3 linked regions of the Lonchura striata genome follow. The protein of the gene in region 2 interacts with the protein of the main gene of each other region in a pairwise test. Links are inferred from orthologs where the notes say so. Each region holds a gene or a part of one and is shown on either strand. Other genes may lie near its edges.

Region 1 (10,248 bases), on a different chromosome or scaffold from region 2:
CTGTCCACAGAGGTTGGCATTTCTTTATGGAAATTAGAGAACCCAAAATTCTTCAGTGTCTCACACAGGAGGATGAGGGCATGGGCACAGAGAGACTTCAAGAGCACACAGTCTTCAGGAGTCAGTATCAGAGGGGGGAGACAGGTGGCACTCCAGTTCTTAATGTAACTCCACACAAAGAGCAGGGAAGCCACTTACCCAAATTGTGAAATGGTGCAGTACAGGAAAGCTAAAAGAGCAGAGATTGAAACAAAAATTATTTTGAAATTACATACATGGGCAGGAACCCTCAGCTGAAAACACTACTTCTATGTAGTAATTTTGAGAATTATTATAACAGGGTAAGATGTCAAACATACCCACTCTATTTATAGAATGACATGCAATTTAGTCAGAAAACAAGATTCATCAACATAAATGCTTGAACACAGTCAGCTTCCTCCACCTGCACAGTTCCAGGCACAACTACCCTCCTGCCACAGCAAAGCTGCAGGGAGGGGTAGGACACAAGGACTGATTCTCCCTGGAGTAACTTCAGCAGCAGGATGAACCCCATCATTGAGACTCAATACCACATTATGCTGAGATAAGCTGACACACATGTTTTTTTCACTGAAGCTCAGAAGCACTGCCTTTAATTTCAGAATCAAGGAAAAGTGCAAAGAGAGGGAGAATGGTGATGACTTGAAATTGTCTGCACCTGCAGATACAAAGCAAACCATTTAGTCAATACCTTACAGCTGTGTGTCCCAAGGGCTCACCACAGATTCTATGTGGGTATCTGGAGCAAGTGGTGACACAATTCCTAAATTCCAGTCCCCAGTACAGAACCAGCCCAGCTAAACCACCACCAGAAGCAAAGATCAATTCCCTTACAGCCTGTGACACAAGGACGAGAGACTTCCCACATGGGATAGACCAGGAATAGATACAAGTAGCAAGATAAAATTACAGCATTCGGATACTTCAAGAAGGGAAGTGAATTATCATTTTCCAAAAGGGAGTAGCTATGAAGTTGCAACAATTTTGAGAGCAGCAGCGCTGGTGTAGAGCAGAGGCTAGGGAAACTCAACATTTCCAGGCTGTTCCACAGTTAAACTTCAGAGCCAAAAGCAAAGCAAAATCTCACACGTTTTCCAGGCACAGAAGAAGTGATTCTAACAGTACTTGCAGCTTTTATACTGCTATCACATCACTAAAGTTCCCATTCAATTAAAGTCTGCAATCTGGACATTCCCTTATGATCTGTTTCATTCAAAGATTCATTTCACATTTTGATCAACATCTAAAATGAGATTATACTACCATAAATTTGTTTTCTACTTCCTTTACCCCTCTTTTTCTTGCTTGCGATCGGCAGGCAGGACTTGAAAGTGAAGGTCTAAAATTAAATTCAGGATATTAGAAACTATTTTAAAATTGATTCAATAACAAAACAACACAAAAATAAACAAAAACAAGGCAAAAATACAAAACAAAACAAACTAACAACAAAAAAATTTACCTAAACTGAAACCATTTGTTTCTTCTTTTTTCTTTCCCTCACAAGCATTGGGAGGCAGCACTTAGTTCTAGCTAACAAAAAAAAAACAACCCTAAATTGTTTCCTGGAACCTCAGAATAGCTCAGATGTCTTAGTTACTACTTGGCAGAAAAAAATTATTAGCAGTGAAAACAAGTCCTCTGCATTTATTACTTAAGCAGTTGGGGAGAAGAGGCAGAGAGCTCATACCAAAGCACTGTGGTTCTCCCATTAGTCAGGGCTGCGTGTTGGTACAGGTTGGAACATCCTCCTTCGTGTTTTTGCACCTCTGCAGCTTAGCAAGTCTGAGCTCCAACTACAACCCCAGCCAGCTTATTAAGCAGGGGAGCATCTCAGTTATCGCTGTGGCAAACCACAGCACGCAGGCTGATTCTTCATGGTTCCAGAGAAAAATGCAGGTAGCAAAACCCCCTCCATGCTGATTTTAGAGAGTCTCCCAGATGCAGTGTGCCACCAGGAAAGGTCCTTTGGCTTTTGCCACTGTGCTGGAGTAAAGACAGTGCAACACGTGAGTTTACTGTTTCCCAATTAAATTAAGCATCTACTCTGCTTTCCGGAACAGTGGTATTGTGTCACGGGACTGTGCACGTGCTCCCACTGCCTCAATCACTTGTTTCTGAAAAACACATGTAAGAATTTATAGGAATTGTCTTCCAGCACTGAGATGAAACCAGACAAAGCTCAAATAATGATCAATATGAATCTTCTCTAAAGACATCATCACAACCATCAGGTCAAAGACGCCTCCAGTAACAGGACAGGGAAAATGATACCAGCACAATGAAAGACCAGCTGGCACATTCCCATAAAGGCAAAAGCAGCCCTCCTGTGGTTTTCATGAACAGCAGAAGATGAATCCTTTCAGATACAGTAATCCTGCAATCAGATACTCACAAGAACAACAAATAAATGCAAATCAAATCCAGGGCTTTAACAGATTATAGGGAATGCAAAGGAGAGTCAGTAGAACACACCAGATCCCAGCACGCAGAGCACAAAGACGTTTCACTGAAGATCCAGGTGAGCAAAAAGGGCACCAGTCCAAGCCCTGCTTCCTGAAACTAGCTTGTATCTAGAGGGCTAATTCTTACAAGGAAGCAGGCAGGCTCATGCCTCCTCTGCCTGCTACCACCCTGCACAGCCTCCAAGCTGGGATGAATCAAAGTCCTATCATCTTCCTCCAAGATGCCCTTATGCAAGTTTGGGAGGGTTCAGCTCACAACTTGGCTACAACAAACAATTTGAAGTTTCAGGAGGAAAAAAACCAACAGCTACAAACAAAAACAGAACAGATGGAGAAGCTGTCAGTGAGGAGAAGAAACTGATGTCCTTGTGAGTTTGCTTTGATAGGCAGCAGGAAGGACAGAGACAGAGAAAAAGATGAGAGAAGAGAAATAATGTCAAACTACCCAATTCAGCAGTAAAGCTTTTACCAGAAAAAAATGTCAAGTATTTCTGGGGAGTGGCTGCTTCATCTTCTTCTGAACTTGTCCTCGTCTGTTGTTCTCCCTCTCTAGCAGACACTGAAACGTACACTGAAAAAGACATCATGCTTCCCTATACCCATCTTTGGCTAAAGAAACTCTCCAGAAATCAAACAGCAAGAGTGGAAGACAGAAAGTGCAATTACTTTTGTCTTCTATTGGACAGCGCTGGATAGCACACACCCCACACAGGCAACCTGGGTGGGTGCTTTTTCCTGCAGAGCACACCCAACAAACAACTGGCACTGCTTAATCTGGCAGGCAGCCTCTCTGCAGGCTCACGGGGCCACCTTCGGCAGCAACAGATACTTTTCAGACTCGTTTAGTCCCTACAGGCTCCGCTGGCATCGCCAGGAAAACCCAAGCGTGCCAGCAGCAGGAACACTCCAGCAACAACCCAGCTTCACACAAAGACTGGCACTGAAGGGAACAGCTCTGCACACTCATTACAGCCCTCTGTCAGCTATTCCCTCTGCCCTTATATGGGAACATCCCGTGGCCCCGCTGGGAATATGATGCTGTTGGTGGACATGAAAGGTAAGGCAATACCTGAGCTGTCAGCAGGCGAGGGCAGAATTTTTCTGTTCTGAAAAGCAAGCAGAGTCTTGGAGCCTGAACTCTTTACAGCATTCACATGAGAGAAAGCAGAGATTAAAAGTGTCAACTGCTGACAGTCTGCACCCACCTTTCTCAAGGGTTATGCTGGTGATTTTAATCTTATTAAATATTGTTAATCGTATTACTAACCTAACTCTTTTCACGTGTTAGGAAGAAATTTAAAGAGAAAATTCCATATATGACTGCGCTATAGTAAATGCTTTCTGGCCAAATCTCAGTTCAGGGCAAGTCCCTGGCTTACAGATTCTGGCTCAGCTGTACACAGGTGTGGATGTGCATAGAAATAGTCTGCTCCGCACCAAACTACCTACAAGTCACCTTCTCTGCCAGATTCTTCTCAATCCATAACTTGTTTGCTCTCTTCTCCTGCGATTCTGCTAGGCATTGCTGGCCTCTCAAAGTGACCTTATTAAAACCTGTGAAATTCCATGCCCCATTTGTAGTAAGGGGAAACACCAATTTCCCCATTACAATGCAAAACATCTCAGTGCATCAGCTTCCCCTTGAATCAGGGGGAATGCTTCCATCACTGGCTTAGCTCCCCGATGTCACACAGACACATCATTAACATAAGTCATCGATTTCTGCATTTCATACACAAGGCAGAGCACTTCTGTGATCCCTGTTCAAAAAGTGAGGTCACAAATGAGCACATCACATTCAGCCTTGCACAGAATAGAGCACTTGTTTAAGTAAAATACTGACCCCGCTGTTTTACAACACGCAGGGTTGTAAGCCCCTTCCTCTTTGTAACTAGAGCAGCACTCCACATACTCTCCCAGGACTACTCCTGTTCCAGACTGCTCCCTGAGATAAAACAGCAGTCACAGAAAGTTTAGATTTAAAAAAATAAAGATCTCAAATTGCAACTCCTGGAACACAAAACACACCTGCTCAGAGGGGCCCAAACACTTGCTGCAAACTCTTTCGAAAGGAATGCGCTCAAGGTGGAAAACGAGCTCTCCGACCGGCAGGAATTACCCAGCAGTGCGCACCGAGGAGCGGGGCCGGGGCCGGGCAGCTCTTCCAGCGCGGCCGCACGGGCTGCCCGGCGCGGTGCCGCCTCCCGCCGAGCCGTCCCCGGCCGCGGGGGGCTCGCCCGGTCCCGCTGCTCCCCGCATCCCGGCACTGCCACCGCCGCCGGAGGGGCTCGCCAGCCCCGCCGCCCGCTCCTGCTGCCCCTCCGGGCGCGGAGCCGCGGGACCCCCGCCCTCCTCCCCGCAGAGCCCGCCGCGGGGGGCGGCCAGGAGCGGGGAGTTTCCCAGCCCACCGGAGCCCCCTCGCCCCGCCCGGGAGGCGCCGCCGCTCCGGAGGGGCCGCGCCCATCCCCCCACGCGGAGACAAAGCGCGGTCCCCGGGCGGCACCTGCCGCCGGCCGCTGACCCCCGGCAGCGCTTCCCCGCTCCAGGCCGGGCGCGGCGGCAGCAGCCGCCCACTCTCCCCTGCCCGCGGCCCCGGTGCCCGCCGCCCCTCACCTGCCGGGCGGCCGCCCCGCTCCGCTCCCGCCGCCGAGCGCTGCCCGCACCGAGCCGCGGAGCGCCCGCCCCGCCCGCTCCCCGCCGGCCGCCCCGCCCCCGCCGCGCTCCTCCAATAGCAGCCGCCCGCTCCGCCGAGGCCACGCCCCCAAGGCGGCCCCGCCCCGCAGGATCCGGCTGCCCCCTCCCGGCACGCGGCCGGCGGCGAGACCCCATTGGCTGGCGCAGGGAGGGGGCGTGGCCAGCGGCCGCTCCGCGCCCCGGGCCGTGCCCGGGATCCCCGCGCCGGGGCCGGCGGCGGCCGGGGGCTCCCGCTGCCGCCTCCCGCTGGGGATCCCGCCGGGGATCCCGCTGCCGGCTCCCGCCTGGGGCTCCTGCTCCCGGCTCCCGCCGGGGATCCCGCCGGGGATCCCGCTGCCGGCTCCCGCCTGGGGCTCCTGCTCCCGGCTCCCGCCGGGGATCCCGCCGGGGATCCCGCTGCCGGCTCCCGCTGCCGGTTCCCGCCGGGGCTCCCGCTGCCGGCTCCCGCCTGGGGCTCCTGCCCCCGGCTCCCGCCTGGGGCTCCTGCCCCCGGCTCCTGCCGCCGGCACCAAGCGAGGCACGGGCACCGACACTGCTCCGCACGCTGCCGCCACAACCAGCGGCGGCTGCCGGCCGGCCCGAGTGCACAGCGCTGCGCCAGAGGAGTCCGCGGCGCCGCGGATGAGAGCTGGGCATAAAGCTGCGTATTTTGGAAGAAATGGCAGCGTTTGTCTCGTCTCCGCGTTTGTAGCAATGTGACTTTGCAGTTAGGCTCTCAAGCCTTTGTGCTCGGCTCTCCCCAGCCGAGAGGTGCGGGTGAGCTGCAGCGGGCAGGGGCACAGGGAGCAGAACCTGACAGCAAACCTGACAGCAAACCTGACAGCAAACCCAGTTTGTCCCCCTACACACACAGCATCGGGAGGATGAGGCACAGCCCAGCTCCCGTTTGCAGCGCATGTGGGAACCAGCACATGAGCGAAATGGAAGAATGTGACAAAAGCATAGTTATCTCTAGTTGCAAAACAGCGAAGGACATACCATTCCAGCTGAAAGTCGGTGGAGACAAAAGCACCATAAAGCAGAAGCGCCTGAAGTGATATGTGTAATATAAACTGACTGCTGGTTTTGTGATTTTTATTCCTGTGAAGCTGGAAGCTCCAGTTATGGGCAGAGCAGAGGCTGGTGCTCTGTGTAAGAGACAAAGGCATTACTTACCGCTGAGAACTGACTGCATAAAATCCTCTCTCTGAATTAGGGGTAAGTTCTGTCAGTAACAGTTCTACAGAGGGACAGAATTAATGCTCCCATTTTTCTCACTCACACTGTAACTTCTGTGTTTCCCAGATGTGCTGTACTCTGCTGTGTTGTTGATCAGCGAATATACAGTTAGTCTAACAAATGACTTGCTATACATGCAGTGACTGCCTGTAAGTACTTGTCATTTGCCTGCTGAGCTGACTGCCAGATGTTTGGCAATCCCAGACAAAAGATGGAGTTATGCCTTAAGCACCCAGCCACAAATTTTGTGTGGATGAAAGAAAACATCTCTGAGGATGTGAAGAAGCGATTCAAGAGCTGTAGGTAAAAGGAAACTGAGGAAGAGTGCACTGGCCTGGGTTGTGCAAAGTACAGAATTTGCCTTATGCTGGGGTGCCCATCACTTCTCCTTTTTGGCTGTAGATGAAGCTACAAATCTCCATTGAAGACATAATGCTGCTCTGAAAGTCTGAATCGGTCTTTCCTCCCACGTTCATTTCTGACATTTCAGAGGGACGTAGTTGGTACAAATCCCACGTTCAGAAGTGTCATTAAACATCTACTGTCTTTGTTACAATACATCAGTCTCTCTTACTCCCAGCCCCCAAATTTTATGAAGGAAAAAATATGTCTGAAAGCTTAGAGATGCTGAACAATCCCCAGGATCTGGCAGCATGATCATGGTCTCCCAAAGAAAGGATTATTTCAGAGGCAACTACTGGCTGCCTCTCTGGACCTTTGCTCCTTGGCCCTTCAATATGCTGAAGAGTCCTTGGAGCATGCTGTATGCAGAGCCCATGAGGATTCCCCTGAGGAGATGATCCCTTACTTGTTCTTCCCCCAACACAGAAAAAGCCATCCTATTACCACACCCTGCTCACTGAAATGCTCTTTAGCTTAGAGCTCACTGAATTATCATCTCACCAATCAGACACAATTTAACTGCACTTAAAATGCATCTGCCAAAATCCAGTTTTGGTGACTAAGAGCATTAAAAAAAAAAAAAAATCTCCTAACTTTTCTTTGCTCCAACCCATTCCTGACTCAAAACACTAATCTGCTTTGTGCATTTTCTCCAGAGCCAGTCCCAACCTGCAGCCCCTTCTGTCTGGTAAAAAACATCTGCAAGCTTCACTTAAAAAACAGCAAAACCCCCTATGAGAGCACATTTGAAAGGAGAGGCTTTTCCTTCTGTCCCATGGCAGGGTTGGCAGGGAACTGGATATAGGGCCTGCCTTGGGAGCAGGGCAAGAAGAACTCCTGTGCACTTTAGGGATGTTACAGTGCCCCCCTCCCACCCCTCCTACAGCCCTTCTGAGAGACAAGGGTGTTGTAAAACCACTGTGGGATTAACCATTCCCCCTTCTGGGAAGAGTTTTTATCAGTCTGCACAAACATTTTGCAGTTCTTAAAAAAAAACCCCAAACAAACCAATCAAACCCTGGAGGAAAAGCTATTTCTCAAACATTATACAGCTGTGAAAATGGTGTCACACAAAGAACAAACATTTTGAGGAACAAGTGAAAAAATTTTTTCTTTCCATTTGTTCAGGTTTGTTTTGTTGTGTTGCTTTTAGTATATTTAAATCCCTAAAGGATCCTTTTCTGTAAAAACTCTTGTTAATGTCTGGTTCTAAGCAGGTTAGCTAAGTTTGTTTCATAACTATTACAATAATCACAAGGCAAGCAGCTGCTTATGCTCCTTTTGATTTCCTTCCTACTCTTCCTCCCCTCCAAGCAGGAGATGAGACAAGTTTAGAAAGTCACAAGGGATATGTGAATACTGTCTGTAGCTTCTGGGAATGAAGTGTATTTAGAGCAGTAATTCAGGGACCAGCTGAAGGTTAGCTACATCTACCCTACTTCATATCTGACCCCATTCCTTTCAAGCTTTCAGTTGTCAGAATATTTAGAAACAGCATTAAGGTATTTGTTATGGTGATTTGGGTACCTACAGATCTGCTGGCAGCAGCCTGTTGATATTTAAGGATCTGATTTTGAGTACAAAAAATAGCCAACACCCCAGAACCTGCAGGGATAGAGCAGGAGACTTTGAGCACACACATATTTGCATGGGTTTGCCTTCTCCCTGCAGAACACAGCAAAACAAGCTTGGGACGCTTGTGGCAATCCCTTTATCTTGGAGTTCTGCTGCTGTGTTTAAGCAGAGACCTTCTCAGATTATCCAATGCCAAGCACCAGAAATCTCACTTCTCTGTGCTTTATGAGTGAGGTCATGAATGTAACTTGCTAGCAAAAATCCAGCAATAAAATACAGTTCTAAATATAATGTGGACAAATCCAGCATTGTCTGCCTTTTCTTAGCTCACAAACCTCATTCCTACAGCAAATCTCAAACCTCTTCCTGAGGTAAACAGGACATCTCTACTACTCCTATGCTCCACAAAGAGGGAAGTATTTGTTTTTAGAGGGAATGTTGTAAAAGGAACTGTCTTTTCCAAACAAACAAAGAAATCAACAGGAGCACCTGCAACTTCCGACCAGGATCCTACAATGTTGGAACATTCAAACTGGAAGTATTAATAAATAAATATATATCCTGATTGTTACATTACATCTGCTTTTGTCCTGTCTTCTTAAGCAACATTTTCTAGTTCTCTCATGAGTGGAAGGAAGGGCAACTTTTCTCTTCAGAATGCACCTACTGTTAGAAGTCTGCAGTGACCTCATTCAAAGTTATTTCCATAGCCACAAGCTGTTTGCTTTTGAGTTACTGGTGGTTTCTCAAGGAGCAGTAAGAACCCAAAATAGCTTAGCACAGGCCAAGCTCAGGCCACTGCCACCCATTTTTCTATAGTTAATATCTATCAAAGGGCTTCCTGTTGCTCTTACCAGGTTCTCCCTAACTCAGCTTCTGTGTCTGGCCTGACAGAGGAACTAATCTGAATGAGCACTGGCTTCCTCTGACCTACCCACTGCACCCAGGTCAGTCCCTGGCCTCACCAGTCCTGTACATAATTTTGCAACCACCATCCCCCTCGGATGAGCACTGGGGCCCAGGGCTGGCTGAACCATCCTGCCTAGAGAGGTCTTTGCTCACAGAGTAAGAATTCAAGTCTCAAAAGGCCTTAGCAAGCAGAAATTACTAATTGAAGAAAAGATCTGCTGAGAGACCTCATTCCAAAAGGGAAACTCAGCTATCTATTATAAACCTTTTTAATAACCCAAAGGTATGCAACAGAAGAACAGAATGCAGGTTGGTGTGTGTGTTGGGGTTTTTTATTTGTTCTGTTTCTTAGTTTTTACTAGAATAGACCTGAAGAGCACAGGCATTCAGTTAGTCCTGGCTGAATCATCAGGAAACATGCACTGAGATGTCATGTGCTTGTGTAAATCTGCTATAAATGTACTTGAACTGAGGTGAGTGCCCAGGTAAATACCCCCTACACAGCTGTGCTGGTTTTGTTCAAACTCATGTATTTGCTGCCTGTGTTACCATGACAAAGATTTAGCACAAAGTACTAAACAGATTATACATCTAGTCCATGTTATAGCATCTTCCTGGATATTGCCTTCAGCCAGCTCAGGTACAGCTGCCACTGCTGCAGCCACACCTTCTGGCTTTGGGGTGCACATACACTGCAGTACCAAGCTACACATTTAGATCTTTGCCACAATGGAGTGATGATTAATCCAGGATTGAGGGAATACATAAATCTTGTCTCCTAATTATTATATAGTCACAGTTAATTACAAGGGTTTTTCCCTAATTGAAATTATTCTGCTGTCACTTCACATAGGAGGATTTAGCAAGGAAGAGCAGAACTAAGTGAGCCATGGTAATTACTTGTAACACAGAACTCAGCCAGCTGCACACAGGATCTGTTCCT
Region 2 (10,860 bases):
GCCCTGACCTCCAGCCCCTGTGGCCACCCACTGTCCAGCCCTGACCTCCAGCCCCTGTGGCCACCAGCTCCTGTGGCCACCCATTGTCCAGCCCTGACCTCCAGCCCCTGTGGCCACCCATTGTCCAGCCCTGGCCTCGTGGTCACTGCATTGTCCCTTGTGGGACCCCAAATCCCAACGGAAGGTCTGGATCCGCATCCTGGCCGTGAGTGACCCCGAGTGACCCTGAGTGACCAATGAGTGACCCTGAATGACCCCGAGTGACCAATGAGTGACCCTGAATGACCCTGAGTGACCACTGAATGACCCCGAGTGACCAATGAGTGACCCTGAATGACCCTGAGTGACCAATGAGTGACCCCGAGTGACGCTGAGTGCCGGAATTCCCGGAATTCCCGGAATTCCCGGGCAGTTCCCACCTGTGGATTCCGAGGCGTCCGAGGGCTGCCGGCCGTGGCCGGGGGATCTTCGCTCCGAGGGGGAATCGCCCAGGGCCGAGGAGAGGCCGCTCAGCCTGGGAATTCGGGAATTGGGGAATTCGGGAATTGGGGAACGCCGGACACGACCCCCGGTCACCCCCAGAGAGCCGGAGAGGAGCCCTGGCAGATCCCAAATCCCCCTGGCAGATCCCAAATCCACCCAGGATCAGATCCCAAATCCCCCCAGGATCAGATCCCAAATCCCCCCAGGATCAGATCCCAAATCCCCGCTGGGATCAGATCCCAAATTCCCCTGGCAGATCCCAAATCCCCCTGGGATCAGATCCCAAATTCCCCTGGCAGATCCCAAATCCCCCTGGGATCAGATCCCAAATCCCCCCTGGGATCAGATCCCAAATCCCCCCTGGGATCAGATCCCAAATTCCCCTGGCAGATCCCAAATTCCCCCTGGATCCCCCTTTTCTCCGGGATCAGCTCCCCCTAAGGAAAAAAATCCCTGGAAAAGCCCCTCAGGATTTTCCAGCCCCTTTTCCATGAGCAGCCGCAGAGCTGGGCCCTGCCCTGGACATTCCCGGCCAATCCGCAGGAAAATCGGGATTAACCCTCGGGATTATCCAGGGCCCAGCCCAGGTCAGCCCTTTTTATCCACCCAAAATCTCTTGTTTTTCCCAAAAATCCCCAAATTCCGGGATCCGCGGCATTCCCGAGACGCTTTTCCTTCAAAACCGCAATTCCAGGAATGCCCAAATCCCAGCCAGGGGATCCAAAGGGATCCAGAGGCTTCTCCTGCCCCTCTGGAAGCAGCCAGGGCTTAACGAGGCTATAAAAAAGTCATTTAATTCGGCTTAATTAAAGCTCCTTAATTGCCTCGGGGGCGGCCGAGCCAGGGCAATTCCCACAATTCCCATTCCAGCGGCACCTCCGGAAGGACCCAGCCCCGCTCTCCCTTCCCAAGTCCCAAAAATTCAAAATTCCCAAAAAACCGAAGCTTGGAATGGGAAAAAATTCCCTTTTCCCAACATTTCTGCCCACCGGGTTCCCTCCGGAGACAGGTTTGGAATCCCCAGCTGGAAAATCCCACGGAAACCTGGGATAAACCAGGGTTGAAAGCAGGAAAAAAGGGGGGAAATCCCATTTTCCGACTTTTCTGACCACGCCGTGGCTTTCCAAGGAAAAGCAGAATTCCAGGGGCAGCTGGGAGGACCTGGAGGGCTCTTCCCAGAAAATTCCCGAGTGTTTTTATCGGGAATGCTGCAGGACAAAGCCGCAATTCCCGGCTCTTCCCTCAACCCCAAACCCTGCCGTTCATTCCCGGGTTGTTTTTTGGGAATGTCCCCCAGGAAATCCGGGATCTCCGAGGAGCCGCCACCGAATTTCACGGGAACAAACCCGAATTCCCAAACCCCTTTCCCACACAACTTTGGCCTTCCATTCCCAAATTAACAAAAAACTCGGGATCTCAGGGAAAGTTTTTGCTTTCCCACATTCCGAGGGCGGCCGCCGAGTCCTGGGAGGAATTCCGGGAGTTTGGATCCCGCTGGAATTTCTCCTCGGATTTGCAACATTTGGTTCCCTCCCTGCCGGGGGCTGCGGCTCCGCTGCTCTCCCTGGAAAAACACCAGGAAAACCACGGAGAGACCGGAGAAACACGGGAATATTTTCCCATTTTTCCTGCTTTAAACCCGGGTTTATCCCTGGTTTCCATGGGATTTTCCAGCTGGGAATTCCAATCCTGCTGTGGGAAGAGATGGGAAGGAGGCCAGGGGTCAGAAATGTTGGGAAACGGGTTTTTTCCCCATTTTTCCCGCTTGAAACCCTGATTTATCCCAGATTTCCATGGGATTTTCCAGCTGGGAATCCCAAAGCCTTTTTTGGGAAGGGGATCCCAACGGAACGCCACCGTCCGGAGCGATCCCAAATGTTGGGAAAACGGGAGTTTTTCCCGTTTTGTTTTTCAGTTGGTCGGGGTTTTTTTTCGGGAATTCTCCACGGGAATTCTCCAGGAAGAATTCCCGGCGGGGTAATGATTAACGGAGCCGCTCCTGGGGAAGTGGGAAGTGGCAGAGCTGGTTGGGCCGGAATTCCGGCTCCTGGAATTCCCTGTCCCGGGGGGATCCTCTCCCCATTCCCGCAGAATTCGCAGCTGGGAGGATCCTGAAATCCCCGGGATGAGGCACTTCCAGGGATGGGGAATCCATGGAATAACCTGGGCAGGATCCAGGAATGGGCCCTGGAATCCCAAATGAACCAGCCCAGGGAATCCTGGAATTCTCTGGGCTGGGAAAAGCAGGAAAAATCCCCAGGATCTGGTGGGAAAACGATCCCTGAAATTCCCGGGATCTGCCTCTCTCCCAGGCCCCCAAATCCCTCATTTCCCACCCAAATCCACGTGGGAAATGCCGTGGCTGGAGCAAAGATCCCAATCCAAGAATTCTCGGCCAAATTCCTGAATTTATCCCAGAAAAAGCTCCAGGGTTTTCCAAGGGTTTATCCCACCAAAAAAAATCCCCAAATTTGGTGTAAAATGGAGCCAAACAAACTGGGAAAAAGCCAATCCCCGGTGGTGGATATTGGAAATATCCCAAAAATCAGGGAAGTTCGGGATATTCCCCCCCACTCCCCAAATCCGGGAGTTTTATCCCAAAACGCTGCTCCCCTGAGGGATTCATGGAAATACGGGATGGGCTGAGTCCCACCATTCCCAAAATCCTGGAATTTTATCCCAAATTCCCGTCTTTCCCCCTAAGGAATGGGGTGAGGGCTACAGGGCGAGCGGAGCCCCCTCCCAGAGCCTCAAAATCCCAGAATTTCACCCCAAAACACCCCAAATCCTGACATTTCACCCCAAATCCTGACATTTCACCCCGAATCCTGACATTTCACCCCAAATTCTGACATTTCACCCCAAAACACCACAGGGACCAAGTGCGGAGTCCCGGATGAGCTGAGCCCCCTCCTCTAAGCCCCCAAATCCCAGAATTTCACCCCAAAACACCCCAAATCCTGACATTTCACCCCGAATCCCAGGATTTCACCCCAAACCACCCCAAATCCCAGGATTTCACCCCAAATCCCGGCATTTCACCCCAAACTGCTGCTTTTCCCCGCAGGACCGCCCTGGCAGCTCTCGGAGCAGCGGAGCCTCCTCCCAGAGCCCCAAAATCCTAGGATTTCACCCCAAACCCCAGCGCCCGCTTCCAGAGCCCCCAAACCCCTGGATTTCACCCCAAAACCCCCGGATTTCACCCCAAACCCGCCGGATTTCACCCCAAACGCTGTTCCCGCTCCCAGAGCCCCAAAACCCCTGGATTTCACCCCAAAACCCCCGAATTTCCCCCCAAACCCCCCGGATTTCCCCCCAAACCCCGTTCCCACTCTCAGAGCCCCAAAACCCCCAGATTTCCCCCCAAACCCCTCACCCGCTCCCACAGCCCCAAATCCCCGGATTTCCCCCCAAACCCCCGGGTTCCCTCAAACCCCCAGATTTCCCCCCAAACCCCTCACCCGCTCCCACAGCCCCAAACCCCCGGGTTCCCCCCAAACCCCCGATTTCCCCCCAAGCCCCGGTTCCCCCGGATTTCCCCAAGCCCCGTTTCCCCGATTTCCCCCAAGCCCCGGGTTCCCCCGGATTTCCCCAAGCCCCGGTTCCCCGATTTCCCCCAAGCCCCGGTTCCCCCGGTTCCCCCCCAAGCCCCGGGTTCCCCCGGGTTTCCCCAAGACCCGGTTCCCCGATTTCCCCCCAAGCCCCGGGTTCCCCCGATTCGCCCCCAAGCCCTGGTTCCCCCGATTTGCCCCCAAACCCCGGGTTCCCCCGGGTTCCCCCCAAGCCCCGGTTCCCCGGGTTCCCCCGGGTTCCCCCAACCCCCCGGTTCCCCCGGATTTCCCCAAGCCCCGGTTCCCCGGGTTCCCCCGGGTTCCCCCAACCCCCCGGTTCCCCGGGTTCCCCCGGATTCCCCCCCAAGCCCCGGTTCCCCGGGTTCCCCCCAAGCCCCGGTTCCCCGAGTTCCCCCCAAACCCCGGGTTCCCCCCGGTTCCCCCGATTCCCCCCAAACCCCGGGTTCCCCCGGGTTTCCCCAACCCCCCGGTTCCCCGGGTTCCCCCGGATTCCCCCCCAAGCCCCGGTTCCCCGGGTTTCCCCAAGCCCCGGTTCCCCGGGTTCCCCCCGGCCGTACCTGTCCGGGGCCTGCGGAGGCCGCACGCTCATGGCGCGGCTCCCTCAGGGCCGGGCCCGGCGCCGCCGCCCCGGCCCCGCCACCATCCCCGGCCCGGCGGCCGCGGGGCCCGAGCGAGCCCCGGCCCGAGCGAGCCCCGGCCCGAGCGAGCCCCGGCCCGGAGCGCTCGGTGCCGGTCCGGGAGCGCTCGGTGCCGGTCCCGGGGCGCTCGGTGCCGGGCCCGGAGCGCTCGGTGCCGGTCCCGGAGCGCTCGGTGCTTGTCCCGGAGCGCTCGGTGCGGGTCCCGGAGCGCTCGGTGCTTGTCCCGGGGCGCTCGGTGCCGGTCCGGGAGCGCTCGGTGCCGGGCCCGGAGCGCTCGGTGCCGGTCCGGAGCGCTCGGTGCCGGGCCCGGAGCGCTCGGTACCGGTCCGGGAGCGCTCGGTACCGGCCCGGAGCGAGCCCCGGCCCGGAGCGCTCGGTACCGGCCCGGAGCGCTCGGTACCGGTCCGGGAGCGCTCGGTACCGGCCCGGCCCGGCCCGGCTCTGGGGCGCGGCCCCTCCCGGCGGGGGCCGGGCTGCGGAGAGCCCCGGGAGCAGCTCCAGCCCCGGGAGCAGCTCCAGCCCCGGGAGCAGCTCCAGCCCCGGCCCGGCAGCGCCAATCCCGGCCCGGGGCTGCTGCCAATCCCGGCCGGCCCGGCCCCCACGGCGCCGGGAGATCCAACCCCGGCCCGGAGCTCCAATCCCCGGGCTCGTTCAGCCCCGGGCAGCGCCAATCCCGGCCCCGGAGCTCCAATCCCCGGCCGGGGCAGCTCCAATCCCCGGCCCCGGAGCTCCAACCCCCGGGCTCGTTCAGCCCCGGAGCTCCAATCCCGGCCCGGGGCAGCTCCAATCCTGGCCCCGGAGCTCCAATCCCGGCCCGGGGCAGCTCCAATCCCCGGCCCGGAGCTCCAATCCCCGGGCTCGTTCAGCCCCGGGCAGCGCCAATCCCGGCCCCGGAGCTCCAATCCCGGTCCGGGAACTCCAATCCCCGGCCCCGGAGCTCCAATCCCGGTCCGGGAACTCCAATCCCCGGCCCCGGAGCTCCAATCCCCGGCCGGGGCAGCGCCAATCCCGGCCCGGGGCAGCTCCAACCCCGGCCGGGGCAGCTCCAATCCCCGGGCTCGTTCAGCCCCGGGCAGCTCCAATCCCCGGCCCGGGAGATCCAACCCCGGCCCTGGGGCAGCTCCAATCCCCGGGCTCGTTCAGCCCCGGAGCTCCAATCCCGGCCCGGGGCAGCTCCAACCCCGGCCGGGGCAGCTCCAACCCCGGCCCCGGAGCTCCAATCCCGGCCCGGGGCAGCTCCAACCCCGGCCGGGGCAGCTCCAACCCCGGCCCCGGAGCTCCAATCCCCAGCCCGGGGCAGCTCCAAACCCCGGCCCCGGAGATCCAACCCCGGCCCTGGGGCAGCTCCAACCCCGGCCCCGGAGCTCCAACCCCCGGGCTCGTTCAGCCCGCACAGCCCCGGGGCCGCTCCGATCCCGGCCCGGGGCAGCTCCAACCCCGGCCCGGGGCAGCTCCAACCCCGGCCACGGAGCTCCAAACCCCGGCCCCGGAGATCCAATCCCCGGCCCGGGAGATCCAACCCCGGCCCTGGGGCAGCTCCAACCCCGGCACCGGAGCTCCAATCCCGGCCCGGGGCAGCTCCAACCCCGGCCCTGGGGCAGCTCCAACCCCCGGGCTCGTTCAGCCCGCACAGCCCCGGGGCCGCTCTGATCCCCGGCCCGGCCCCGCCCGCGGGGACACAGAGAGACCTCGGGTGTGGGGGACACGGGGACAGGGAGGGGACACAGGGACAGTGTGGGTTTGGGGACAGGGAGGGTTTGGGGACACCCATGGGGACAGGGAGGGTTTGGGGACAGGGAAGGTTTGGGGACACCCATGGGGACAGGGAAGGTTTGGGGACAGGGAGGGTTTGGGGACACAGGGACAGGGAGGGTTTGGGGACAGGGAAGGTTTGGGGACACCCATGGGGACAGGGAGGGTTTGGGGACAGGGAGGGTTTGGGGACAGTGTGGGTGTGGGGACACCCATGGGGACACTGAGGGTTTGGGGACACCCATGGGGACAGGGAAGGTTTGGGGACAGGGAGGGTTTGGGGACAGGGAGGGTTTGGGGACACCCATGGGGACAGGGAAGGTTTGGGGACAGGGAAGGTTTGGGGACAGGGAGGGTTTGGGGATAGGGAGGGTTTGGGGACACCCATGGGGACAGGGAGGGTTTGGGGACAGGGAGGGTTTGGGGACAGGGAAGGTTTGGGGACAGGGAGGGTTTGGGGACAGGGAAGGTTTGGGGACAGGGAAGGTTTGGGGACACTGAGGATTTCGGGACACGGAAGATTTGGGGACATGGGGACAGCGTACATTTGGAGACACCAAAGATTTGGGGACACCCATGGGGACACTGAGGGTTTGGGGACAGGGAACATTTGGGGACATGGGGACAGCATAGATTTGGGGACAGTGAGGATTTGGGGACAGTGATGATTTGGGGACATCAAAGATTTGGGGACAGTGATGATTTGGGGACAGTGAGGATTTGGGGACAGTGATGATTTGGGGACATCAAAGATTTGGGGACAGTGATGATTTGGGGACAGTGAGGATTTGGGGACAGTGATGATTTGGGGACATCAAAGATTTGGGGACAGTGAGGATTTGGGGACACCCATGGGGACTGAGAACTTGGGGACATGGGGACATCAAAGATTTGGGGACACTGAGGGTTTGGGGACACTGAGGGTTTGGTGACACCCAAAAACCCCAAAGACAGAAGCAGCGGGAGCTGGGGAATTTCCGGGATCCCGGGAATCCCTTCCCAAAAATCCCAAACCCCGGGAGAAGCCCCAAAGAAAGCAGCGGCGCCTCTCTGTTAAAAGGTTTTTATTTAACGTTCTGAATTCGAGGTAAAATACTTTTATTTTTCGCTTTTTTTTTTCCTTTTTTCCGTGTTTTTTTTTTTTTTTTTTCAACTTCCATAACAAAATACGGAGCTATGGGATACCCCTGGAAAAAAATATGTATATTATCCATAAATTTCTCTAGCATTCCATCATATATATATATAATATATATATGCAACCCTTTCTTAAATCTGATTTTTATAGAAATCGGAATTTAATTTTAAAGGCACAAATTTCGGATTTTTTGTCTTTTTTTTTTTTTGTTTTGTTTTTTTTTTTTTTGCCCCTCTACTTTACACCCTATGTACAAAGCCACGCTCCCCGTCCCAAATTCCATCGATTTTCCCGAAGGATTCCTGCCGGATTCCCACCGGGGAGAGTTCAAATCCCTCGAAATCCCTCGAAAAAGGGGTTTTATCAACCCGAAAACAAAAGCGTAAATATCGGTTTAAAAAGCGCTAAAAAATCAAAGTATTTCCCGGAAAATCCAAAGTTTTTCCGGAGTTCTGATGATTTCAACCGAGAGAAAATTCCTGGGTTTTTCTTTTTAATCCCACCAGGATGCTGAGACGCAAAAAAAAAGAAAGAAACCAACGGAAAAACAGCTTAAAATAATAAAAAACCTCAACATAATTATGGAATAAATAAAAAAATCCGGGACAACCCCATTAATGCTGTTGGATTTTTCCTCCTTTTCCGGGGAAATTCCTCCCCAGAAATTCCCCCCGTTTGGGGCTGTCCCATCAAAAAGTCTTTTTTTTTTTTTTTAATTTTTTAATTTTTTAAACATTTTTCCTACGGATTTGCTACGAAAAAGAAGCAAAATTAACGAAAAAAAAAAAAAGAACTGCTGGAAAAAACGGGATCATGCTCCGGGGCAAATTCATCCGGGAGAGAATTCCAACCATTCCCAACTTCCCGAGGGTTTGTTTGTTGTTCAATGGTTTGGCACGGTGGAATTTTAGGAATTTTTCCTTGAAACTTCCGATTTTTTTCCACAAAATTTTGATCTGGTTGTTTTGGTTTTTTTCCTTTAAATCCGTTCGTTTTGTTTTGGTTTTTTTTTGACCTTTTCCTTCTCCTCTTCCTGCTTTTTTTTTCGTTGTTTTTCCTCCTCCCGGGCTCCGTTGGGAATTCTGGAATTCCCGAGAGGCGCCGGATCCGTCGTCCTGAGTCCGGAATTCCCTGAACTCTCCCAAGTTTTTTATTTTCATTTCCACTTTTCATCTTGGTTTTCTTTTTTCTTTTTTTTTTTTTGCAGTGCAATGGCTGTGACAGGAAACCCCGACATTCCCACCCTTCCCAAAAAACTCCCAATCCCAAAAAATCCTTTTCTAAAGCCACAAAAATTCCAACTTTTTTTTTTTTTTTTTTGTTCCTTCTCTTCCCGTGGGATTCCGATTCCAAAGGACTGGAGAGGAGGGGTGGGGAAAATCCGGGATTTTCCCCCCGTTTTTTGTTTTTGTTTCTCCCGACGGTTCCGGCGCTGGGATTTGGGATCGGCGGGAATTCCGGGCAAGGCCCCTCGTGTGATTCCTGAGTTCGTCCTGGCGCCTCTCCGGTCGCGTTTTTTGGGATCATCCAAGGCTTCTCCACCCCAACTGCACATTCCAAGGGTCCCACGCCCGGCCGGGCTGGGATCTGGGAATCGCTCCCGGGATCCCGGCGGGGAATTTCCTCCCCCAGCCCGGAATTCCCAAAATCCGAGCTCCGAGAGCGAATCCTGGGCAGCTCCCGGCGCTTCCCGAGGCTCGATCCCGCTGGGAGCCAAGCCGGAGCCTTCGGAATTCCGCTGCTGCGCGGGGGAACGGCGGCGTTTGGCATTTCCCCCCAAGAACCAGGAAGGATCCACGACATCCGAGCGCTCCCGGAAAAAATTCCCAGAAAAAGTCCAAACGTGGTTTGTTGGTTTTTGTTTTTTTTTTTCTTTAAGGCATGAGTCAAACGGGGAGAAAAATGGGGGGGAGGGTCCAAAAATCTGGGAATGGCGCCGGGAATTCCGGCGTTCCCGGGACTCACCACAATCATTCCAGCGCTCCTTCCAAGCATTCCCAAAAATTCCACCCACACGGATTCCGGAGCGGGAAAAAAATCCCCGCTCCGGGCACACAGAAACAAAAAAAACCAAACCCCAACATTTTTAATGCGTTAGGATTAAAGGCATCCGGTTAATTTTGTGTTATTCCCGTTCCCATTCCCTGAAAAAGTTTGGAGTTTTGCTCATGGCTTCTGCGAGAGAAAGAGAGAGAGAAAGAAAGGCGGGAAAAGGGGAATTTTCCCCGGAAATCCGCCGGGAACGACGCGGCCTCCATCCCGATTCTCCGAGAGTTTTCCTGAATCCTTTTCCCCCCCGCCCCAGCCCCGCTCCGTGGACAGTGCAAAATTCCCGATGCAAAATTCCCAAGCTCCTCCTTTTCCCAAAAAAAAAACCAAAAAAAAAACCAAAACAAAAAAAAAGAAGAACCAAACCAGCTCCTGGATGGCCGGGAAAACCTCTCATCCGTAAAAAAACCCCGAAAAATCCCAAAAAAATCCCCCCCCACCCTGTCCCCGGATCTGGAGATTCCCGGTGTCCCAAAAGGCCCGGGAGCGGCCCCGAGGCCGCGCCTGGAATTCCTCCGCGCCAGTCCTGGAGCTGGAGCCGGCTTTTCCCGGGAAAAGCGAGCGGGAATTGCGGCGTCTGCACCTGCAAGTCAACAACAGAAACAACACAAAGCCCGAAGCTTCCCGCACCCCCCTCCCTTCTCCCACCCCTGAAATTCCCTAAAAATTCCCAGGCCTGGCCCGCCCCCCTCCCCGCCCGGACCCCGAACTGCTCGGCAACCTTGCTACATAAATACACGGACGCCGCTCCGGCCGGCTCCGGCGCTCCGGCCGCCTTTAGGTGTCGGAGGCGGCGGCCACGGCTTTGGGCAGGTGCCAGATCCCGTTGGGCCGGGAATCCTCGGCCGCTTCCTGCCGGGAATCTCCGTTCCAGCGGCGCTTCAGCCGCAGCTTGGGCGGCATCAGGGCGTCCTCCCGGCGCTCCTGGCCGCCGGCCTCGCCGGGCCACTCCCGCGGCGCCTTCTCGGCGCTCTCCTCTCCGCACGCGCCGGGCTGAGCCGCGCCGGGCGCCCGCGCCGGGGCCGCCGGGCGGGCGAACACCGCCGCCTTCTCCTCCTCCTCCTCCTCCTCCTCCTTCCGCGGGACCTCCTCCTCGTCCTCCCTGTCGGGCGCCGCCGGCTCCACCTTGACGCGCGGCGGGCCGGCGGCCTCGGGGCTCTCCAGGCGCTCGCGGTTCTTGCGGCCGGCGGGCGGCGGCTGCAGCTTGATGGGGAACTGCGGCGGCTCC
Region 3 (10,367 bases), on a different chromosome or scaffold from region 2:
TAGACATCATGCCATTCACTGCAACTCTTTGAGTACAACCATCCAGCAAATTCCTTATCCACTGAGAGGTCCATCTATCAAATCCATGCCTCTCCAGTTTAGATAACTATACCATGTGGGACAATGTCAAACTTTGCACAAGTCCAGGCAGATGACATTGGTTACTCTTCCTTTATCCACTAACACTGTAATCGGGGTCATAGAAGGCTATCAGATTTGTCAGGCACAGTTTGCCCATGTTGAAGTCATTTTGCTTGTCACAAACCACCTCCTTCTTTTCCACATGCTTTCACATATCTCCCAGGAGGATCTGTGCCATGATCTTGCTGGGCCCGGAAGACTGATTGCCTTCACTTTTTACTTGTGGCCTTAAACTAGTGATGCTGGTTAGCAAGAAAACAAGTGAAACACTAAGAATAAGGTTTTAATTGGATAACTAACTTCTTGAAGACACACTTTGAATAAATCAACTACTAAATTCACTTGTTTGCAGGATGGCAAATCTTTTTGACCAGGGGCATGTCAAAAGTGAAACTACAAAGGCAGAAATTTGGAAGCTGACTACAAAGGTGGAGCAAGGTCAGAAGTGTTTCAGAAGGTTCCAGGTGGACTCTGTCCCCTGACGAGTACTGAGGCTGACGAGCGTGGGGAACTCAGCATGGTGCTAATCATCAATCCGTGCTGGCGCCAGCTCCCAGAAGCTGAATTCCAAAGAGAAACCAAGTGTCCCTAAAAGCACGTGGCTGGTGACCACAGCTCTGCTGACACATTCCTGAGGGCAAACTCTGTCCTGTACTATGCTGGTGTAAAGCTAAGCAGTAGAGCAGGGGCTGACCATCGTGGTGATGCTGAGATTTTTTTAATAATTATTAGTAACATTTATTAAGTACAGACACTTTTAGACATTACAAGAACAAGTAAGTCTTCCCTCAGCCACCTGAGATGGAAACTCGGAGAGCTCCAAAAGTTATATATTTCCAGAGATTAAACTCCAGAGACAATAACAGAAATACTTGAGTTTAGCAGATAACTCAATTCCTATCTGCCTAAAGAAAGTAAGCCCCAAGTCCACAAGATCCCCTGAACAGCTTTCCAGTCAGGCTGGCTGCACCAGGGCTTGGGCAAGCATGTGTCCTCTCCCTCCTCCAGCCGTCCTCTGCTGCCTCCAGAGCAGCAGAGGGCAAGGACTCCAGGCCTCTTTTTGTAGCCAGATTTTTATAGTTTTATAAAAATCAGTCTTATCAGTTTTATAGACAGAGACCTTTTTGCACTGTTAAGCCACTTAAATAGACCCTCCATGATAAGCTGAGCTTAAAAATTTCCTATGGTGCATAAGAAAACCTGCAAGAAAAGCCAAAATAAATATCCACTACTGAGTTGAACAAAAAAGTAAAAGTGGAGGAGTAGGAGGGATACCATATCGAGGTTGTTTGTTTACTTAATTTCATCATAATTATTTAGACTCTCATCTCACTAATAGCTGCACAGGTGCTAACTTTACTTCAAGAAGGACCTAGAGTTTTTGTTTGCATAAATCAAGTACATTTAATCAAGTGCACATTAGCTCATCAACACATTGGATCTGATGAGAAATTGCATAAGTGACAATGCCAAGATATTTCAGTGAATATTCATGATATCTCTGTGGAACAGGCTGACTGGAGGAGAGTGAGAACAAAATGACAGTAAAAGAACGGTAGCAATTACTTTTCTAGCAGTTAATGTTGCCATTAACTGCTTGCTGGCAAGAGCTTGAAGTTGCAAACCCCAATTTCAGCTTGTTACCTTAATTTTACAATTGTAATTCAATATTCTGAATGTGACACCAGTGCAACAAATATCTTCATTCAGTGCTTCATACAATAAATAATTTAAAACTATATGAAAATTTCCAAATTATAGCCATTACAAAAATATAAATGCTTAGTATTACATCTTCATAAAAATAAATAAATAAACGTGCAAATATTTTTCTCAAAACTGAGCCAGCATCCAAACCCATTTGCAACAATTTTTTTCTTAACAGGCATTTATGAAGAGGTCTCCCTTCAAAATGTAATTTGTCCTTAGTGATCATCTGCATGCAAAGCAAACAACTCCGAGTTTTATAAAGCCATACAAAGCCTTTATCCAACTTCCAATATCATCTGTAGAAAATTCAGGCAGAGTAATGCCATGCCCTTAGTGAGGATATTTTACATAACAAGTCCTCAAGTCAGATAAACAAAGAAAGACTTTGATAAATCAACAAAAAAACTTGGATCACTTTCTGATTGCTAGACTGGAAGAAGGAGAGGAAGAGAGGGCTGTTCAGGTACACCATCTACTACATCCTTCTGAAACCCAGAACCTTGTGTGCTGCTCACCAACCAACGGAGGTCACACAGCCTCTCCTTATGCAGAGCTGCCTCCCCACTACCACTGCCCACCAAGGTCTGGTACAAGGAAGGTCACTGGGCTCACACCTGCTATTTCAGAAGAATTTAGATGCCTATGGACTATGCTTCACAACTGCAGCTCAATTCAACTGACCTCAAGTGTTTGCTTTGTCCCTCTGTCACAACAGAGAGATATACAGGAGATTTGTGTTATCAGACTTCACAACACTAATATGAATAGCCATAAAATATAGTTGACATTCATATGCCTGTCTGTAAACTCAGATTCAAAGTTAAATAGAAAATAACCCTGAATGGCCGACTAACCTCTGGCAAAGGGACAGGATGAACAGCTGAATGCATCAGCTTCTGGAGCAAATGTCAGAGTCAAAAGTGTATTCATTGTGCTATCCTTCCCATGTCTTTGACAATTCAGGAGTATCAAAGAAGACTGTTTATCAACATTGTTGTAACAGACTATCACAAGCATCCAAAGTCTCAATAGCCAATTGCAAATTTTTGGGGTTCATGTTACTACAAAACACATTTTGATAGGTTGACCATAGCTTCTTACAATAATCTCAAATGATTTAAACAGCTTTTGGTACCAGAAGCCACCATTCAAACTCCTTTCCTAAACACTGACACCATTTCATTTCTGTATTTGTTAAAGTCATATCTTTTAAGAAAGACTATTTTCTACTTCACAGGCAATCAGACTAGGCTTTAGATCCACAAGTGTTCTAGGTAAGGAGGACAAGACAGGCTACTTGGAAGTAGACTTCCTTCCTTCCTCCCTTTTGTTTTGGCTGGAAGCATATTCTATTCTTGTATATCGACTGTAGGCAGCAGCCCCTGTACCCAGGTGTGTTGGATCTGTCTCACAACCTGAGAGGCAGGCAGGGCATTAAGCATCAGCCCAACATGCATGTATAATCTCACTCCCTAGCAAATAGTGAACAGGTCTCCCAGCTGATTTGCATATAGCATGGTACATAGTTGTTGCAAGACCAGTTGCACATTTTAAGCTTTGGAGGGAAAAAAAAAAAAAAAAAAAAAAAAAGAAAGGAAGAAAGAAAGAAAAAAAGAAGATTTTTTTTCAGGCCAGATTTAGAATCGATGTCTTCTGAAAAGAACTGTTAAGAAAACTGAAGTCAATCCTAGGTACATACCAGCAGCTCATTACTTACCAACCTTTACTTCCTCCTAGATTCCATTGTAATGAGAACATAAACAGTAAAATAAGCATATATCTCCCTCGAATGAATTACCTATTCAGAGTTCCCTCTGGTGTTCAATAAGCTCATCATCACATTCAAGGTAACAGCCTTCATTCCAAAAGCGTAAGTTCCTTTACGAGCAAGTTATCATTTGATGACGAGCTCAGCAATAAAGACAGGACCATAGTGTTGTTACTCATAGAGAAAAGCAATATTATTTTCCATCAGAGAGGAGATAAAGATACACTTCCTCCTTTGTATATTCAACCGAGTGTCTGATTAACCTCGAAAGGACCCAAAGTGTTAACTATCCCTTCTGCCTCCCGATGTCACCAAGACCGACGAAATCTCGGAGAAGGCAAAGTCACAAATTACAGGTACAGCCCATCTGAACGCAGCACGCAAAGATGTTCTGCACCTCCCGAATAACTATGCCTTGAGTCACAAGCCTTTCCAGCCTCGCACTCCCATTCGCCTCCACGGAACATGAGCAAAGTACAGTGTATCTAATTAACAGTTTGGAAAGAAAGTTTAAAGCTGCCTCTGCGAAGAGACAAAATGCGTTTGCAGGAAAATCCCAAACGAGTTCCCGAGTCGGCAGCGCCCAGGCGGAGCGCGGGGTGGGCGCCGGGCCAGTGCCAGCCGCGACATCGGGGCTGCTGACCCCGGCCGCTTCGGGGTTGCGAAACTCCCGGGAAGAGCAGCCAGGCTCCATCGAGTGGGGCGGAGGGAGCTCGCCGGACACCGGCGCTCCCCGGCTGCCGGCCGGGAGGAGCAGATTCCCCGCGCCTCCCCCACCTCCCCGCCCTGCACGGCGGCTGAGAAAGGCGCTCCGAGTCCAGAGCCGCCGCCCGGGAGCCCCTTTAACCAAAACCATCTGGTCGCGGGCAGCGCGGTAGAAAGCCCCATCCGCCCCAGCTCTCAGCTTATCCCCGGCCCTGGCCCCGCAGCCGAGGAGGAGAGAAGCTGCTCTAGCCACAACTCAGCAGCTCCCGAGCTGGGGGAGACAGAGGGAAGTCTCCGTGGAATCCGCCTCCCCCCCTCCCCGCCCCATCCCGCGGCGCGGCGGCAGGGCTGGGGCTGCGTTACCTTCAACAGGTGCAGGCGCCGGCGGGAGGCAGCCGCGGGCGCGGACCGTCCGAGCTGCCCGAGCGGCAGCCGCGGCCCCGGCAGCCCCCGGCGGGCGGCGGTGGGCTGGACAGAGGCGCTACGGCAGCCCCCGGCGGCCGCCCATGCTCCCGGCGGGCCCCGCCGCCGCCGCCACCGCGGCCGGAGTCAGCGCGAAGGCGGCAGCGGCTGCGGCCACCTCCGAGAGGAAGGACGAGAGCGGCGGGGAGCGAGGGAGGGGGAAGCAGAGAGCGAGAGGAGAGAGAAACCGCCCCGAGAGAAATAATCATCACACGGCGGTCACGATCCGCCGCCGCGCCCCGACAGCCAGAGCCTACGCTTGGGAGCCGGGGAAAAGCTGCGAGGAGGGGACACACCTGTAGGCGCAGCACATATCCGCTGTGAGCACAATGCGAGACAGGAAACTGAAAAAAACAGCCCAGGGAAGGAGAGAGGCTCCCGTTCGTCCCTCCTTCCCTCCCTCCCTTTCTCCCTCCCTCCCTCTCTTTCTCCCTCCCTCCCTCTGTCCGTCCTCCTCCTTCTCCTCTCTCCACCCCCTGCCCCCGGTCAGGATCCGCTTGCAGCGCTGTCTCATGCAGGGAGATCCAGGCAGAAGGCTGGGAGGCGGCAGGAGCCGCACTTTCTCCCCGTTTTCCTTTCCCTGTCTCCGCTTTGTTTTGCCCGCCAGCCAGGCAGAGGCCAGCTCGGCGAAGCGGGGCCGAATGCTCCCGGAGAACCGGGGGGGCTCCGAGCCCCAACGGGGGACCGGGGCCAGGCCGGGAGCTGCAGCTCCAGCGCCGGGGGCACCGAGCCCCGGCCGCCCGGGGGCCCTCGGGGTGAACAGCGGGGAGCGGCGGGACGGCCGGGAACTGCCTCTGGGCAGCCTCTGCCCGCGGCCGGGGTCGGCGCTCGGCCTCCGCGGCGCTCTCCGGCGGGACGGCGGTACCGCTGGGAAAGGGGCTGCCTGCTGCTCTGTACCTAACAGCCTTGCGGGACCTGTCGGATCCCGGTGGTGTTCTGGGGACGCTCCTGAACACGAAGGCACATTGTAATTCCCATCCCTTATCCCCCGAGCAGAGTCTCTGAGCACCCAGTGGCTTCCTCCCTTCTTGTACACCCTTATCGATGAGGGGCCCAGAATATGTCACTGGCATCACTTTTACTGAACTCGAAGTACTCTAGGGTTTATCCCTATAGGTAAATCCTCTGCAAAAACAATTTCTGCACGTTCTCTCTCTGCTCAAGCACTCTACTAAAAAGCCTGTGTGCAAAGTTTTCATGCCTTCCCCCAGAAACAGATCAACAGTTACTGCAGAGCTCACTTCCCACCTGTTGTGAACGCAGCATCACTGTGCTATAGCATCATCATCTGCACGTTCAGATGTTAAATTTGTCTCAACTATAGCTAATGTAGAGACAATCTATTGAAAGGAGGGATGTCTTAGAAGAATGGCTCAGGTAAGCTTTGGTCAGGATGTTTATACTTTGTAACTTTCCATCAGTGAAATGTGGACCAGCAATGTTTCAAGGAGAAATGAATTTACTGCTCTTGGCACTTTGAGTGCAGCTTCATTAAATGCTGTGTGCGTTGTGCTCCCTACTAAAACACCAGGAGACAGCCGGTCTATACGCCGTGCTTCCCAAACAGGAAGTTGCTGAAAAGTTACCTTTGCATCTCAAAACAGCAAGAGATACAAAATAAATAAAAAACAGCTCCAAAACCCTGGGCAAGAATAGTTGCACTTTTGGAAGAGATGTTAAAAGTGGCTTTCAGACCCTGTCTGTGCAAAGTGCCACTGCAGACTTAACAGTGGGTTGGGACTATTCAAACATGCCATAGAATTTTGTGGGGTTTTCCCTTTGGGCTTGCACAGGGGAGGCAGGCTGTGCTGGGTGAATTTTGCCAGTCTGGCCCAGTTATTGTGCTAACCTCCACCAGAAGGCCCTTGTCCTTTTTTATTGGCTTCCTTCCTGCTCTTCACCTGACTGGGCTTAGTCACTGCAAGATAAGAAAGAACAGGTCTAGTGTTTCAGAAGGTCTGGATTCCCCTTCTGTACCTCTTCACTTACTGGAAAGGAGAGAGGGAATCTGAAGAGGGAGATGGGACTTCCCTAGGAAAAGTGAATTAGTCATGTCCTGCAATTCTTGTGAGGAATCCAGTAAGGAGAAACTCACAGGCTGCTAATGGGCTTGGTAACACCTGACTTTCCAGGCTGCTTTCACAACATCTGGGCTTCTGGCCAGATTGTACCCTAAGTTTTGGCAGAATGCCCTGGAATTACCAGCCTGGCAGCTCTCTTTGTGCCCAGGGCAGTGAATCTCTGCCTTCCATCATGCTCTGCCCCAGGGCCTTTTGCTGGGGTCTCTGTCACTCCTCCCCCTACCCTGCCTGCTCCAAACCTAATGATCTGCTTTCCCTACTCTGGGGAAAACCCCACATCTGCTCCATCTGATGACCACTGACCAGGACTGTACTTGCCACACTTTTGCTGTCTCAAGGTGACTGTAGCCAAGTTAAATCTAAGCCTTGCCCCCCTCCCAGCTCACAACACATCTTCTCGCCAGAATAGTTTCCTCCTGCTCCTGTTCAGCTCCTGTTGCTCTGGCCTCCTGACAATTTTTATTTTTTTTTTTTAATTCAAAGGAAGGGCAGCTCCTAACAATCCCTTGCTGTGCACCTGACCTTGCAAGTGTGACCGGGATTATGAAACTGATCTAGATCTTGAGGTGGCCACACAGCATCCCACCCCAGGATAGCCATCTTCTTTGCTAACCCTCCATAAGCTGCTGTTCTGCCAGGCACATTTGGATGTCCTAAGCAGCAGTGTGGCATATTGACTTGCACTTCTGCCAGCTGGGACAAAAATGTGCACCACAGCACTATGGTTAGTGAAGTCCATGCTGAATTCAGCACTTGGTCCACTTGCAAAGATGGTCTTCTGCACTTCCTTTTCTTGCAACCAGCACACCATCCTTCTGACCCATGGAGAAGGGATACAGGGAGATATTCTCCAGTGAACCTAGATAAACAGCTGCACATCAAAACCTGCTATTTGTGACTGAAAGATTGATTCCCTCCCTTAGCATTATCCAACAAAAAAGAAAAAGAAGAAAAGAGGTCACATCAAATCCTAAATGCGGAGATGCTTAGAGAAGGGCAACAAGTAAAGGACTGAATGATTAACAGCTTCCCAGACTCCTGGGGATCTTCACTGCAGTCATGCACATGCACAGGGTGTGACTCAGGGCAGAATGCTTTGTTCCCTCCCTCTCCAGCTTCAGGACACAGATGACAGAGCTGTGTTTGAATAGAACTCTAGTCTAGATTTCAATTTCCTCTTTATTTCCTTCTTCTGCATCCCGTCTGTCTCTCCTTTCTTTGTTATCACCCATTTGTTGTTACGTGTATCCTCATGATTTTTTTCTTTTTTTTTTTTCTGCATGTTATTTTCTTTTGCACTGAAGGTGACACCTGTGCCTCTTCCCTGCCTGCTTCTCTTCTTTGTGCCGTCGGTTCTGAATCTTTTCCAAGATGCAGCCATAGATGGAATCGTTCCTACTGCTGAGACCTTCAAGGCCTGTGGAAAAGAGCGGAATTTTCAGCTGCTATCATTAAAAAACACCTTGTTCCATGATCAACAGAGCTAATGAAGCCAGGTTTCCTGTGGTCTCGTCGCTGACCCACCCGCTGCGATGGGCTGGTCTCCCGTTTGTGTTCCGTGTCCGAGGTGAAGCGCTCCTCTCTGCGGTCCGGAGCGCCGCGTGCTGCCCGCGCCGCGCCGCGCCGGGCCGCGGCTGCTGCCGAGCACCGCCCCGAGCGGCCCCGCTCCGCCTTCACCTCTCCCTGCTGGAACACTAATTTGAGCCTCTAGTCGCTGATGCTCACAAATCCCTAGGAACTTAATTATCTTTGAGGTTCCTACCTCTTTTATTCATTTGTTTGCAGCTAGCCAATGTGTTCTGACATTTTTATGAGGGGCTGATGGGCAGATAAAGAGTCAGATGATTGATTATCAGTCTTTAGGAAGGAAGGCTGTTGCCCTGTGGTCATGGAGATAACCTGGGAGCAACCAAAACAGCTAAAAAAGAACATAAAATCCTTTCTAAAGTTTTGGAAATTGCACTTTCTGTGCAATTTTCAAAATTGCACGGAAATTACATCCTGCTTGGGGATGTCCCATGTCTCAACTCTCTTCTGACGGGTGAGGGGGAAGAAAGGGGGAAAAAAATATTCTTCATTAAGCAGCAATTCATCAGCTGTACTGGGCAACCATTGAGATTCAGCCTGCCCTAGCACTCCTGCTGCCACCATCCTTTGTAAGAAATTTTTATCAATAATGGGAAAGCAAAAAACCACAAGAACTAGGATACTACCTGAATGGGTTTAGTCTCATGGCAAAGATATAAACAGAGCATCTGTAAGGATTTTTCACTCTCCATTTGATGTCTCTGGTTTGGAGAGGGCATTGCATCTTCTCCTAGTGACTGAAAAAACCCAAATATACATATTTATATTTTTACAGTCCATAAATCACCATGGGATCTACTTTTTCTGTATAAAAATGCCAGATAAATCTAAGGTGTTATTATTAGATTTGTGAAATGTCACTGTGCACAGCCTGATTTTCATGCCCTTTGCACCAAGCTCACATGGCAGATCAATTTGTAAATATCTGGGGTTATTCTTTGCTTGATGGATTTCTCAGTGTCCATTTTCCAACAATCCAGAAAAAAAAATGTTTAGGGGTGAAATTAGCTAAGGTTAACTGTGCAATTCCCTTCATGTTTTTTTTTTCCTTTGATGCTAGAAAATATTTGATCCACCCAGAGCAAGTGGGTTTTGGTATTTCTTAACCAACACTCACTTGATACATTTGTTTACTCCTGTGCAAAATTCTACCTCGTCAAAATTTTTCTTTTAGTTTTACATATACTTTTTATAGATATAAATTGTTGCACAAAGGTATGAGATAAAAAAGCAGCAGGTGCTCTGGATACAATTTCCAGGTGGAATCCAGAGAAAGCCTTATATGGATATGTGCAGTAGCTGTATGCATATGCATAACTATTACAAGTATCAGCCCTTGCAGTCAAGACTAGATGTTCTGACATTGCCCTGGTTGCACCTGGCTGTGTGTGAGCCTGATAAGAGATCCTTGGTTAATGAAGAGGTTCATATAGGCAATGCTTGCATTTTTTAAAGTGATCTTGAATTTTTGAAGACATTTCAATTTAAAAAAACTTATAATAATTAAAATTTTTAAGATTTTCCATCAGGAAGTTTATTGGTATTTCAAAAGTAGGTAAAATGAGAATTAATATAAAATATTAACAACAAATAAGAAATAGAAAAGGCCTTGCCATTTCATTCCCTTCTTTTGTTGTTTAAATAAGCCCTTCACAAACACACATACACACACATCTGTATGTATATAAACCGGACAAACCAGCATGTCCGACTTTGTTTTGCTGCCTAGCAAAACACTGAAACCATTGCTCTGCCATTCATTTTAACCAGAGCCAACATACTTACACTTGGTGGTATTGGTAATTCCACAACTGGTTAAAGAATTTGGATAAGCTATCTGCCAGGCATGCTTCTATATATATATTTATATTGTAGAAAAAATAATTATTTTTATAAAAATAATATCATTATCT

Evidence for each region.
Region 1: the proteins of rho guanine nucleotide exchange factor 11-like (region 2) and PLXNB1 interact in a two-hybrid assay, tested with the Homo sapiens proteins (2 studies listed by BioGRID). The link is inferred for Lonchura striata from reciprocal best matches to the Homo sapiens genes ARHGEF11 and PLXNB1.
Region 3: the proteins of rho guanine nucleotide exchange factor 11-like (region 2) and PLXNB2 interact in a two-hybrid assay, tested with the Homo sapiens proteins (2 studies listed by BioGRID). The link is inferred for Lonchura striata from reciprocal best matches to the Homo sapiens genes ARHGEF11 and PLXNB2.

The regions. Positions count from the first base shown.
Region 1 is NC_134614.1:15,164,038-15,174,285, reverse strand, and holds the start of PLXNB1 (plexin-B1), read right to left. Parts: upstream 5,205-10,248; 5' UTR 5,121-5,204; intron 1-5,120. UniProt on the Homo sapiens protein: Receptor for SEMA4D. Plays a role in GABAergic synapse development. Mediates SEMA4A- and SEMA4D-dependent inhibitory synapse development. Plays a role in RHOA activation and subsequent changes of the actin cytoskeleton.
Region 2 is NC_134635.1:3,775,683-3,786,542, reverse strand, and holds the start of rho guanine nucleotide exchange factor 11-like, read right to left. Parts: upstream 4,682-10,860; 5' UTR 4,645-4,681; coding exon 4,613-4,644; intron 515-4,612; coding exon 420-514; intron 1-419. Other genes in the region: ETS translocation variant 3, read right to left, coding at 10,410-10,860. UniProt on the Homo sapiens protein: May play a role in the regulation of RhoA GTPase by guanine nucleotide-binding alpha-12 (GNA12) and alpha-13 (GNA13). Acts as guanine nucleotide exchange factor (GEF) for RhoA GTPase and may act as GTPase-activating protein (GAP) for GNA12 and GNA13.
Region 3 is NC_134607.1:30,341,212-30,351,578, forward strand, and holds the start of PLXNB2 (plexin-B2), read right to left. Parts: upstream 5,205-10,367; 5' UTR 5,083-5,204; intron 4,772-5,082; exon of another isoform or gene 4,688-4,771; intron 1-4,687.